Macaca fascicularis: one gene and its partners. The protein of the gene in region 2 purifies or fractionates together with the protein of the main gene of each other region. This does not show direct contact. Links are inferred from orthologs where the notes say so. Each region holds a gene or a part of one and is shown on either strand. Other genes may lie near its edges.

Region 1 (3,769 bases), on a different chromosome or scaffold from region 2:
TCTTTCTTGCACAGCTCTACACTCTGTTTCCAGCGATTGTTGCCTTTGAAGAGATAAGCAGCAATTCTCCTGAACTCAATGAGTTCATGTTTTTCCAAACGCTGAGCAAGCGAGATATTGTCAAAGTTGTCATAAGCATCTATTGATGTTCGCAGAGCCTTAAAAAAAAAAAAGCCATCCAAATGCCAGATCAGTATTTTGTTTAACATTATATTCCGTCCTCGATCAATGAGCCCCTTAGATGGTAGGTAACATGTAGTATGACACCTAGATTCAAGCATCAAAAGGTGTTTTTTCACCTTACCTAAAGATAACATTTTCTCCAAGATATTTCAGTATCAAGGACTAACATACGGCTATGAAACTGACGAGATTTCTAATTTGGAGGGCAAGTTTTGTTTTTTTTTTTTTTTGAGATGGAGTCTCCCTCTGTTGCCCAGGCTGGAGTGCAGTGGTGACACAATCATGGCTCACTGCAACCTGCCTCTAGCATTCAAGCGATTCTCCTGCCTCAGCCTGCCAGGTAGCTGGGACTACAGGCACGTGCCACCACACCCGGCTAATTTTTTTTTGTATTTTAGTAGAGACGGGGTTTCATTGTGTAGCCAGGATGGTCTCGATCTCCTGACATCATGATCTGCCCGCCTCGGCTTCCCAAAGTGCTGGGATTACAGGCGTGAGCCACCGCGCCTGGCCTGGAGGGCAAGATTTTATTCCCTAGAGAAACTTCTGATAAAACTCAGCATGGCAGCAGTAAGATCTGCATGCACGGAGCCTCAAAGAAAATCAAGAGAGAGAAAAAAAGGCAAGGAGCTTAAGCTTCACTCTACTTGACTTTTGCTTATGCGAAATCCTTCGTAAGATAAAGTTTATACAAATACTAATAAAACAGTAGGAAAGAAAAATGGTGAATATAGTTAATATCAAATAAATTTTATGAACTAGTTAAGTGATCAAAGACATTTTTGACTCTACCTATAATCTAGATGTTAGAGATAAAGTAATCATATCTTTTTTCAAAAGCAGTATCTTATACAAGATCTGAGCAAAATTCTGAAAACTTGGCACTTAATTAGAAGTAAGATTTATCAATCCTGAAACCTTACTAAATTTAGATCCTAGGAATGCAAGCAACTACTGTTTACAATCCTAAATGATAATGGCGTTTTTGAAAAATGGGAAAATGTAACTTTATGAGTCTTAAGATTATGTGCAAGAATCAAAAGGTTTTACCTGATAATCTTCTTCTGTAATAAAGAGGTTGTTTAATGATTCATTCACAGATTTGTTGTTATGGTTCTGAACTGAACGCAAATATGGTTTCACCAGTGGTAGCTGTTTAACCTTTAAAATAAAGAGTTTGTTACAAATATAGCACATTATTGAAGTCCCAGGGACAAAAGTTATCCTAATATGTCCTAATTCCTTGCTATGAAGCTTTGGTTTAAAATTATTACTTTACCTTGCTGAAATAATTGACTGCACGAGTGTGATCCAACCGTGGAGACAGCACCATCAGCAAATCATTTAACAACAGAGGCTTGAATTCTAAATAGAACTGTATTGCTCTATAGTATAGTTCCACATTGGCAACCTATAATGGGAAAATCCATATATAAGTCAGTTACTTCCTAATGAGCTTTCTCCTTCTGAATCCTTTATCTTCTGAAGAAAGTACACACCTTGGTAATGATATCTTTGAACTGCCCTTCTTTCCAGGCATCAGTTGGATGATTCATCATGGTAATTATGGCATTATCATATTCTTCATACTTGTCATACAAAAACACCAGTTCTGCCCAAAGATGAGCTTGTTCTGCAGCTCTTAGCACCTGCATAAGAAAGACTTAATTGCTTTAGATATGAGTCTAGCTAACAGCCTTAAAAAGAATAAGATATTTTGAAGTATTAGTTTTAACTACACAGTTGCTTCACTGTGTTACAATGACTGGTTACCTTGGGAATATTCACTCTAGACCAGAACAGCTCCAGGTGCTCCCTCATTTTCTGAGGCTTAAATTTAGAGTATAGAATAGCTAATTCAGTAAACATTCCCATGTGAGCTCGCTCAAGTCCCAGTGCTGCTTCCAACATGGTAATCAGCTCTTCAAAATAGCCACGATCCTGAACAAGAGAAATGTGCAGTTAAAGAGTATCTATGGTAAAAGATCTCAGGTCATATAAAAGTTTCTTGTTAATTACCTGATAGTAGTTGATAAGTTCTTCTAATTCATCTGCGTGTACAACAATATGAAGTCCACACATCTGAGCAAGACGGAATTCTTTCCCATCTACACAGGCGAAGCAGACCTAGAATAAACATTTCCTTTCTGTGAACTCAAATGCAAACATGGCTAGTTGTTTAAACTAATGTTTACAGAGCGTTTCTTTAATTCTTCACTCAAACTTGGGTTTAGATTACCTCTTTCCATGTTCGAGTACTGTTAGCTTTCCTAGCCCCATCAACAGCTGCCTGATATTCACCCAGGTGAACCAGGGTAGATGCCAAACGTCCAAAATTGGAAACATTATTGTACAACAACTTAGCAGCATCATACATTTTTTCATCATAACAACGGTCACCAACCTGGAAAAAAAAAGGTAACGCATATTCAGTAAGATATTAGTGTGAGCTTAATCCTCTTTTCATATTCATACCTTCACACTGAGAAATAATTTGTTTTCCTGTAGATTTTTCCTTGGAATTCTTCAGTTATGATGTTTTGATCCTACCAAGCTAATCAAGTAGCCCAACTAGTTTTTCTTAAATCTGAAAAGGAAACCCACTTGTTGGATATGAGCATTATTTGGTCCATTGATAAATTCTTCTAACTCTGCAAGGCGGTTTGTTTTAGCCAGCGCAAATATCAATTCTGTCTCCACATAGGACTCTCGAGCCTTCTTACGGGCCATCTGCAAGTACTTCACCAGTTCTTCCCAGTTTCCTAAGTATAGAAAAAGAAAAAATATATCCAAACACTAACATCCCAGTTTACCTTTCACCCAAGTAAATGAAAATTGCTCATTTCCTTTTCAAGGAAACATGGATAATGACAAATGTAAACTGTGCAATATTTCACTTCTGTATTATCAAAGACCAAATGAATAGAAGAATTCTCTTTTTCCTTAAAGTTGTAAGATTAGAGGATTATCAGGATTTTATGAGACTTCAAAAACAGAAAATTTATCTTCCCCACTTGTAAGTTTTGTGAACTTACAAATTCACAAAATACAGCCTCTTTTTATCTGGACTAAGATGGAGTACTAAAAGTTTTCACAGGAAACCATGCAGTATCCAACTCTTCTACAATTCAGAACAGACAGATATCTTAATGCTTAGCTTAATCATTTTGTGAGGTCTCAATACATAAGGTAAGAAGTCATACCACTAGTATTGGCAGCCTGAACAACTTCCATGTAGGAGGAAGGATCGTCTGCTTTGATATAAGAATCAATGGCTTCTTTCACCATTCCTTTCTGCAACTGGGCTTTTGCAAGTTGACTCCAGACCGCAGGTTCATTGCAACGTTCAGCAAACTCATATGCCCGATCCAAGTTTCCAATATGTTCAATTAAGACCTAAGTACCCAAGTTTGAAATTGGGGTTAGAGTAAAATCAATCCTACCCAGAGCAATTACATTTAAGCTGTTAGTATTTTATTGCTCTTCTATTGCCATAGGAACAAATTAGGCCCACCCTCACAGGACAGTGCATACACTGAATGAGTAGAAGACATTACATTTAGTAATTCAACTTAGGTAATCTAAA
Region 2 (4,267 bases):
CTACTTTTGGAGCCTCTTCAGCTTTGGTTTAAATTTCAATGGCTCAGTTTCGCTGTCAGTTCACGGTGGTCTTGGGTGAGTCACAGCCTCCACTTTCCCCTCTCTGGATCTCAGTCTCTGCCAGTGTGAAACGAAGGCGATGGGCTGGAACAGCATTAGCATTACCTGGGAACTTGCCAGAAATTCACATTCTAGGCTGGACGCGGTGGCTTATGCCTGTAATTCCAGCACTTTGGGAGGCTAAGGTGGGTGGATCACCTGAGGTCAGGAGTTTGAGACCAGCCTGGCCAACATGGAGAAACCCCGTCTCTATTAAAAATACAAAATTAGCTGGGTGTGATGGCGCATGCCTGTAATCCCAGCTACTTGGGAAGCTGAGGCAGGAGAATCGCTTGAACCCGGGAGGCGGAGGTTGCAGTGAACCAAGACTGTACCATTGCACTCCAGCCTGGGCAATGACAGCGAAACTCCGTCTCAAAAAAAAAGAAAAAAAAAAAAAAAAAAGATTTTCACATGCTAGAGTCCCACTGCAGACCTAGAGGGTCAGAAACTGGAGTTGGGGCCCAGATATCATTTGCTTTAACACGCCTTCCTAGGAATGCTGCTGAGAACCACTGGGTTAGAAAATTCCAAAGGCAAAGCTCTTTTAGCTGTAAAATTCTATTTGTGCTCTAAGGTATGATGATTTAATAGCATTCTCTTTGCACGGGAGTATTTCTTGCCCAAGAAAGGCAACCCTTCAGGGTAAGAAGAGAAGCTTGCTTTGACTAGCTGAAATCCAGAACCCAGGTGAGCTTTCCAGAAAGCCTTAAGAGTATGCGGCTGACTTTGAAGCCGGGTCTTTTATTTACTTGTTTATTTTTAAGTAGTAAGTCTTAAACTTGGCATGTGATAAAAGCAGTGGTTTCTGTAGTCAGAGAAATAAAGATGAGAGGAGAGCTGCTTTCTTTTCTCAGCTCCAAAAAACCATGACTCACTGTGGGGTGGGTGTGTCTAGGGGAGGTCGGGGGTCCTTTGAGAGGGCAGTTCCTCTCCCTGGTTCAGGAGCTTCCTGGTGTGTAAATCCTGGACTGCCACCTCCCCCCTTGGAGAGCACTGATTACAAAACCCTCGGAAGAGCCACCAACAGCCACGGTGGCGATTACAACACAGAGCCGGGTCGACAAGCTTTCGTGAGGTTTGGCAAGACAGTAAGAATGGAAAGAATGTCTCGTCTTAAAGTTTTCCCAGTATGGACTTAAGACCAAAAGTCATCATCAAAAAAGATAAAGAGTGATTTCACGGAAATGCGATGGTTTCTTCATGCAAGAATGGGGAACACCCAGACCATCCTCTGGAGAAGTGTGGCTGTTTGGGTCAAGGCATGTCGGTTCTCACGGTGTTGGTGTCCAAGAACGAGCACTTATGAGACCTACTGCCCAGTGATTTCCAGGGATTCCTAACCTTCACTTGGTGGTATCTCAGGAACAATGTGGGTGTGTAAATATATACATGTATGTATGTGTATGTATATGTACATGTATGTATGTGTATATTTATATATAATGTGGGTGTGTGTATGTATGTATTTCAAGAGATAGGATCTCCCTGCGTCGTCCAGGCTGGAGTACAGTGGCGCCATCAGGGCTCACGCAGCCCTGACCTCCCAGGTGCAACCAATCCTCCCAGCTCTGCCTACCGAGTGGCTGGGAGCACAGGCACACACCACCACGCCCGGCTAATTTCTGTATTTTTTTTTTTTTTTTGGTAGAGACGGGGGTCTCGCCATGTTGCCCAGGCTGGTCTCGAACTCCTGGGCTCAAGCGATCTGCCCGCCTTGGCTTCCCAAAGTGCTGGGATTACAGTCGGGAGCCACTGCGCCCAGCCCAATGCTAATAAATATCACAACTGTTTTTTTATATGGCACTGGCCACGTACCAGGCATTGTTCTAAGTATTTCACATTTATTAAGGAATTTAATTTTCACAACAAGCCCACGGAGGTAAGGACCATTATTACCCGCCAATTACAGGTGAGGAAACCTCCGCCCAGGGAGGCTGCGTCATAGAACTATAAGTATCCTGTCACCAGGGTGCAAAGAACCACGGACCAGCACTCAGGCGCCAGGTGCCCTGGGCTCGGCTTGGCTCGAGCGCCGGGCTGCCCCACCTACGGAGCACCGAGGTGGGCTGACCCGGAGGGTTTCTCCGACCACTTTCTGCTCAGGTTCTCAGAGTCTGTGCGGGTCCATTTGAGGCTGGGTCGAGATAAGAGCCCAGGCGGACACGTCCTGAGATCCGGGTCTGTGAGGCCTGGCCGCGGGCTGTCTGGCGCTGGGTCCCCTCTGGCCAGTCGCCCCCAAGACGCCAAGCCCCAGGCTTCGCGGTCCTGGGAGAATGGACTTCTAGCCCTTCTCAGGTGTCCATGTCCGGAGAGCCCGGAGAGCCAGAAAGGAGCTGGCCAAAGCCCAGCCGGCGGGACCCAGCACAGCGGCCCAGCCACTGCCAACCACGCAGTCCCTTTAACCCCGAAAACTTTCTCCCTCGATTCGGGACCCCAGCAGACACACATTGGCTGCGAGGTGGGCATCCGGACCCGCCCTCTCTCCTTATCTACTGGCTGTCGTATACATCTATCACAAGCCAAGGCTTCCTAATGGCCCAAGTTCTTGTCAATCAAGAGTGGGAGGAAAGCTGGGCGGGGCCAAGTCGGAGAGCTACACGCCAGCCTCATTGCCCTCCCTGCCTCAGTGACTAGGCACCCGGAGGCTTCCCAGGGGACCGAAGCTGGGTGCGGAGCACCGGGGCGGAGCTGTGGGGGGCTCCAGGGACTCACCGATGCGCTGTCCCACTGGAGAGCTGAACGGGTTCCCCAGGAGAAAGTCCATTGCTGCTACTGCCGCTGCCACCAACCCCGGGAATCAGCTGACAGCAACCGCCAGCGCCGCCAACCCGTCACGTGACGCACCCGAAGGCCGGCGAGGAGGCGTGGGCGGAGCGGTGGCAGAGCGGAGCTGGACCACAGGCCCCGCCCTGACGCGCCAGGGTCCCGCCCCCGAGGCGGAGGGCGATGACCTCATCGTCGCTTCCTAGGCGGCGGCGGGCGTCACGCACGACGTAGAGCCTGGGGGCGGGGCCCGGGAAGCGCGGTCCTCTTTAAGCCACGCCCCTGACCTTTTAGGGCGGGGTCTAAAGGACCCTTTACACATTTGGGAAACTGGGTCGTAGACCAGGGAAGTGACTTGGGTGAGATTACACAGAAGCCGAGACTCTTAGTGTCACAGACCTTAGTCCTTGGGACCTCACTGTGACTGCACACCTACTCTGGGTGACAGCCTCTCTGGGCTGCTGTCTCCTTGCCCCGATAGGACTCTTCCTGTTTGATGTCAAGGTCTCCCCGCTCCAAGATGCACCCTGCTTGCAGCCCAAATTATCTTACCTTCAATCAGAGGTAAGGGCAAGGGGTTTGTCATCTACTGAGACTGAGAAATAATTGAATGAATTGCAGCGCAATTCCCTCTAGCGCCCAGGATGGCAGAAAGCGTAGATGTAGTCACGAGTGGGGCTTTGATACCCATCTCTGCCATAAATTTACTGTGTGAGCCAAACACAGCTCCCATTTTCTCTAGATACTGGAATTAGATCAAGGACTCGTAAGCATTTTAAAAAAATATTTTATTTAGGTCACAGTCTCCTTGGAGAATTTGACAAAAGCCATGAGGCTTTCTGAAGAAAAAAAGCAGCGATAGAATTTTGCTTATAACCTCAGGGAGTTTCTGGCGTCCCTGAAGTACAACCGTGGACCCCAAGCTAAGAATCTCAAAGGCCTTTCCCAGCGTTGAGACTAATCTCTTCAGCCTTCCTGGCTGTGTGTGGTGTGTCTGCTGACCCCACACACTAGATAACCTATCTATGGGTTATGACCTTTTCTTCTGACATGTACTCCAAAAATACAATAACCATGGCCTTAGTAGTCTGGCTACTGTGGGTGCTTTAGTATTTATTGTAATGTTTGTGGTTTTTAAATCTGAAAGACTAGTAAATTGACTGCACAAATTTTGGATGATAGAAAACCTAAATTAAGCAAGGCGCGGTGGCTCACGCCTGTAATCCCAGTACTCTGGGAGGCCGAGGCGGGCAGATCACGAGGTCAGGAGATTGAGACTATCCTGGCTAACACGGTGAAACCCCGTCTCTACTAAAAAATAGAAAAAATCAGCCAGGCGTGGTGGCGGGCGTCTGTAGTCCCAGTTACTCCAGAGGCAGAGGCAGGAGAATGGCCTGAACCG
Region 3 (3,769 bases), on a different chromosome or scaffold from region 2:
TCAATGTCTACTTTCCAGAACATAATAAAGATAACTCTGAAAAAATTGGAATTATATATATATATTTTTTGCAATGTAGGTAGACATATTAAATAACATATCTTTTTTGTATTTGCAATATTTTTATAATTTAATCATTTGGGTTATCAATATAAGAATATGCACATATTTTCAAACACAAATTATTCATCTTTAGGCTATAATATACAACCATATAATGCTGAGTCTCCTTATTTCATTATAATAAATGGAAAACAGTTACTGAGTAATAAACTGAAGTCCACAAAAATACAAGGATTCAAATTTGCCTTTATCTGACATTTATGGTTTTTTTCCAGCATGTAAGAGACTAATAATTCATATTTAAAGACATACATGTGCCTTACTCAAGATGCTAATTGACGACGGGTTGTAAAAAGGAGCAGATAACTCAATGATTTAAAAACAGATTTAAAAAACATTATTACTGTGGTAAAATACACAACTACAAATAGGTTTTTAATGAAAAGGAGATAGAACAATTATTTACGTATTGCCTCTCAAACCCAAGCTCACCCTCTAAACTGGGCTCTTGGATGCCAGGTTGGAAGTCTGGAAAGTGCAATTCCCAGACTCTTGTTACTGGCTTTGGTCAGCTTTTTCCAATAGCAGGCACTGGTGGGAGACCATAAGGTGGGAAGAAATGAGAAGGAATTCTTTGTTTCTGGATCCTGCCAGGATCTTTGCAGCAGCAACACCGCTAGATACAGCTGCTAGACTCATGATTTTCAGTACTCCTAACATCAAATCTGGAGCTCTACTTTAGTCATCTGAGCACCAACTCTATGAGGCCTCTTGATGGTGCTGTGACCATGGCTTCTGACTCCAACATCTGCGATCCAAACACCTCCTGGTGCTCCTACACTGAGCTCTAGCCTCTCCCCTTTTGTAGCCCCAAACTCCAGTTGTGGTGGTTGCTTCCTGCAGTTACTAATTGCTGAGGCACTTGAGCACAGCCTTTTTGCTCTTCCAGTCTTCCAGCCTGCATGTGTAACCAATTCCCTGTATTAAATCCCTCTTGATATTTAATCTGGTTTCTCTTTCCTGACTACATTAGAGAATTTCTGGCTACATTAGAGAATTTCTATTTTGATAATTTATCTTTAGTCTTAGACACAGCATTTTCTTCTATTACCTTCAACATTTGGTTGTTTAAGTGCTGAGACTGGCAAAGTTGTTGGTGAAGGTATACTGGACGTCTGGTTCTCCTGAGGAGGCTGGACAATAGTACATTCGTCGGAATGATTAGATTTAAGATTAGAACCAGTTGGACTCATCATCCTTTCAAATGCCTGAGCTATAAAGGGGAAAACAATAGTGTTAAAATCTCAGATGTTTTTGTAATTTACTTCAAAGTAAATTTCAATAAATATTCTATTTTTCAAGTTGTAACGAGAAAGAAAGAAATGGCTAATCAAGAAAAAGAAGTAGCACTTGGCAAAGATACTGTCTGAGTTGGCAGCATGCCACTTTGATAAGCTACCAATAAGTTATTTCAATATTATATCTAAGGTGTATATTTGATATCCACAGAGAATAACCCTTATTTAACATGACTATCTCTGTTTTCGTCCTTGTACCCCTAGAGTCTATTTCCAACACAGTTTAGAGAGATTCTTTTAGACATAAATCATATCTCATTATTCCTCTGTTTAAAATCTTTTAATGGCTAACTAAAGTGAAAATTTAAGTTGTTACAATGGCTCACAAGACCCAACATAATTCATCCCTACCTCCTCCACTTTCCCAGTTACATGTTTGACCTCATCTCTCACTACAATGCCACTCACTCGCTATGGTCCAGCCACCCAGACCTCCTTGTTCTTCAAGTAAGTACTCCTACAGCTTAGAATCTTTGCTCCTATTATTCCCTTGGCCTAGAATGTTCTTCTCATACTCACACAGCTTTATTATCTCACCTCCTTCAAGACTCTGCTCACATGTCATATTACCATAAAGCCTTACTCTGACCACATTATAAAAAATACTACCTAAGGCCAGGCACAGTGGCTCACGCTTATAATTCCAATACTTTGGGAGGCTAAAGCGGGTAGATCACTTAAGCTCAGGATTGCTTTGAGACCAGCCTGGGCAACATGGTGAAACCCCATTTCTATCACAAATACAAAAAATCAGCTGGGCGTGGTAGTGTGTGCCTGTGGTCCCAACTACTAGGGAGGCTGAGGTGAGAGGACTGCTTGAACCTGGGAGATGGAGGCTGCAAAGAGCTAAGTTCGCACAATTATACTCCAACCTGAGTGACAGAGTGAGACTCCATCTCAAAAAAAAAAATTCCTTTTGCCACTAATCTGTTAACTATCTATCACTCTTACACTTTTAAAATTTTTTAATTGAAGGTAGTATCACCATCTGATATCTTTTTGTTTACTATCCATCTCTACATACATTCATAAATTTCATGAGAATATGGCTTCTATTTTGCTCTCAGCTTGAGCTTCAGAATGCAGAATAGTGCCTGAATACTGCTGAGTGATTCTTCATCCAAAAAACAAGGTACATTGATAGCTCTCCCTTCAGCATTTCTCCAAACTGATCTGCTATAAATGTTGCCACTGCTAAAACAATCTTCCTCAAGTGCCACTGAATGATGGCACTCATAAAATGGCTTCCATTAACCAAGTGAAGTCCAAACATCTTACTCTCAATTTCAAAGTAATTTCTAACTTGCCTCAAATCTACTTATTGACATTCACATGTGCGCTTCCTTGAAACTCACATAATCTCAGGACAGCTTTCTCATTATCTACTATCTCTATTCAAATTATCTTTTTCTTCCAATCTTTCACGTAGTGTGTCTCACAACCCATGAACCATCTTTCTCTTCTCATTTGATATCATTATTTTAAATGATCACTTCTATTATTTTCAACCCTAAAGCTGATATTAACTTTTATTTATGCTTTCCTGTGGCATATAAATTAATAATAAATAGCACCGTAAATGAAACTATATGCTATATCAAAATAGAATAAATTTAAACAGATAACTAAATAAACTAATTCCACAGTATTTTCTTTGATAAACCAAAGCTTGATTTCAGTATTCTACTGAATTTCTTTAATGATCATATCTTCTCCCCTCCTGGACCCTTAGAGTCAAAATATGTCTGAATGCTCACCCAAAAATCTGACCTGTCAACATAAATAACGTTTCAAATCCTCATGGATGTTTAATTTCTTTTTAATGGGGGAGATAATTATGTGGGAGCTTGCTCTAAAATTTCTGAATTCTAGCAGATTGCCTTGGCTAACAGCACCAGCAGTCATCTTCTAGGCTACTGAAACAGCATAAGAAAAAACAAAACAACTATAAGCACTTAAACTGACCTCTTCATAAACAATGGCGGTAAGATGGAAACATAAAAAGATTTACACTTTGTTATCTTCCAGAGCAGAGGTCAACAGCAGGGAGAAAAGCAGCTTACCTCAGGCTAACAGACTCACATCAGAGCTTTTTGAAGAATTGCTGAAAAAAGTTATCTTCATTCAAAAGAGAAAAACAAATTATTATCAGGTATTCATTCCCCCTGGCTAACAGGAAGCAGTGCCTGAGGTAGTGCACAGGTCTGGTCAAAAAAGGCCCAAGTAATATTTGCCAGGAATTAAACTGTCAACGAATCTTTGAAAATGCCAAGTGGTACTCAAAAGAATAAACATGGACTTGGGGAAAAAAACACAACACACACACACACCCCCCCACACACACAACC

What was found. Proteins that work in one complex are often made in the same cells at the same time.
Region 1: the proteins of TOM1 (region 2) and CLTC purify together in Homo sapiens (affinity purification with western blotting, with the first as the bait; 3 studies listed by BioGRID). This does not show direct contact. The link is inferred for Macaca fascicularis from reciprocal best matches to the Homo sapiens genes TOM1 and CLTC.
Region 3: the proteins of TOM1 (region 2) and ZFYVE16 purify together in Homo sapiens (affinity purification with western blotting; 3 studies listed by BioGRID and IntAct, with this or other methods). This does not show direct contact. The link is inferred for Macaca fascicularis from reciprocal best matches to the Homo sapiens genes TOM1 and ZFYVE16.

What each region holds. Positions count from the first base shown.
Region 1 is NC_088390.1:47,024,770-47,028,538, forward strand, and holds part of CLTC (clathrin heavy chain 1), read right to left. Parts: intron 3,580-3,769; coding exon 3,387-3,579; intron 2,946-3,386; coding exon 2,788-2,945; intron 2,588-2,787; coding exon 2,423-2,587; intron 2,311-2,422; coding exon 2,203-2,310; intron 2,125-2,202; coding exon 1,957-2,124; intron 1,833-1,956; coding exon 1,683-1,832; intron 1,595-1,682; coding exon 1,463-1,594; intron 1,345-1,462; coding exon 1,234-1,344; intron 159-1,233; coding exon 1-158. UniProt on the Homo sapiens protein: Clathrin is the major protein of the polyhedral coat of coated pits and vesicles. Two different adapter protein complexes link the clathrin lattice either to the plasma membrane or to the trans-Golgi network.
Region 2 is NC_088384.1:16,368,510-16,372,776, forward strand, and holds the start of TOM1 (target of Myb1 membrane trafficking protein), read right to left. Parts: upstream 2,902-4,267; 5' UTR 2,867-2,901; coding exon 2,815-2,866; intron 1-2,814.
Region 3 is NC_088380.1:84,381,599-84,385,367, reverse strand, and holds part of ZFYVE16 (zinc finger FYVE domain-containing protein 16), read right to left. Parts: intron 1,337-3,769; coding exon 1,175-1,336; intron 1-1,174.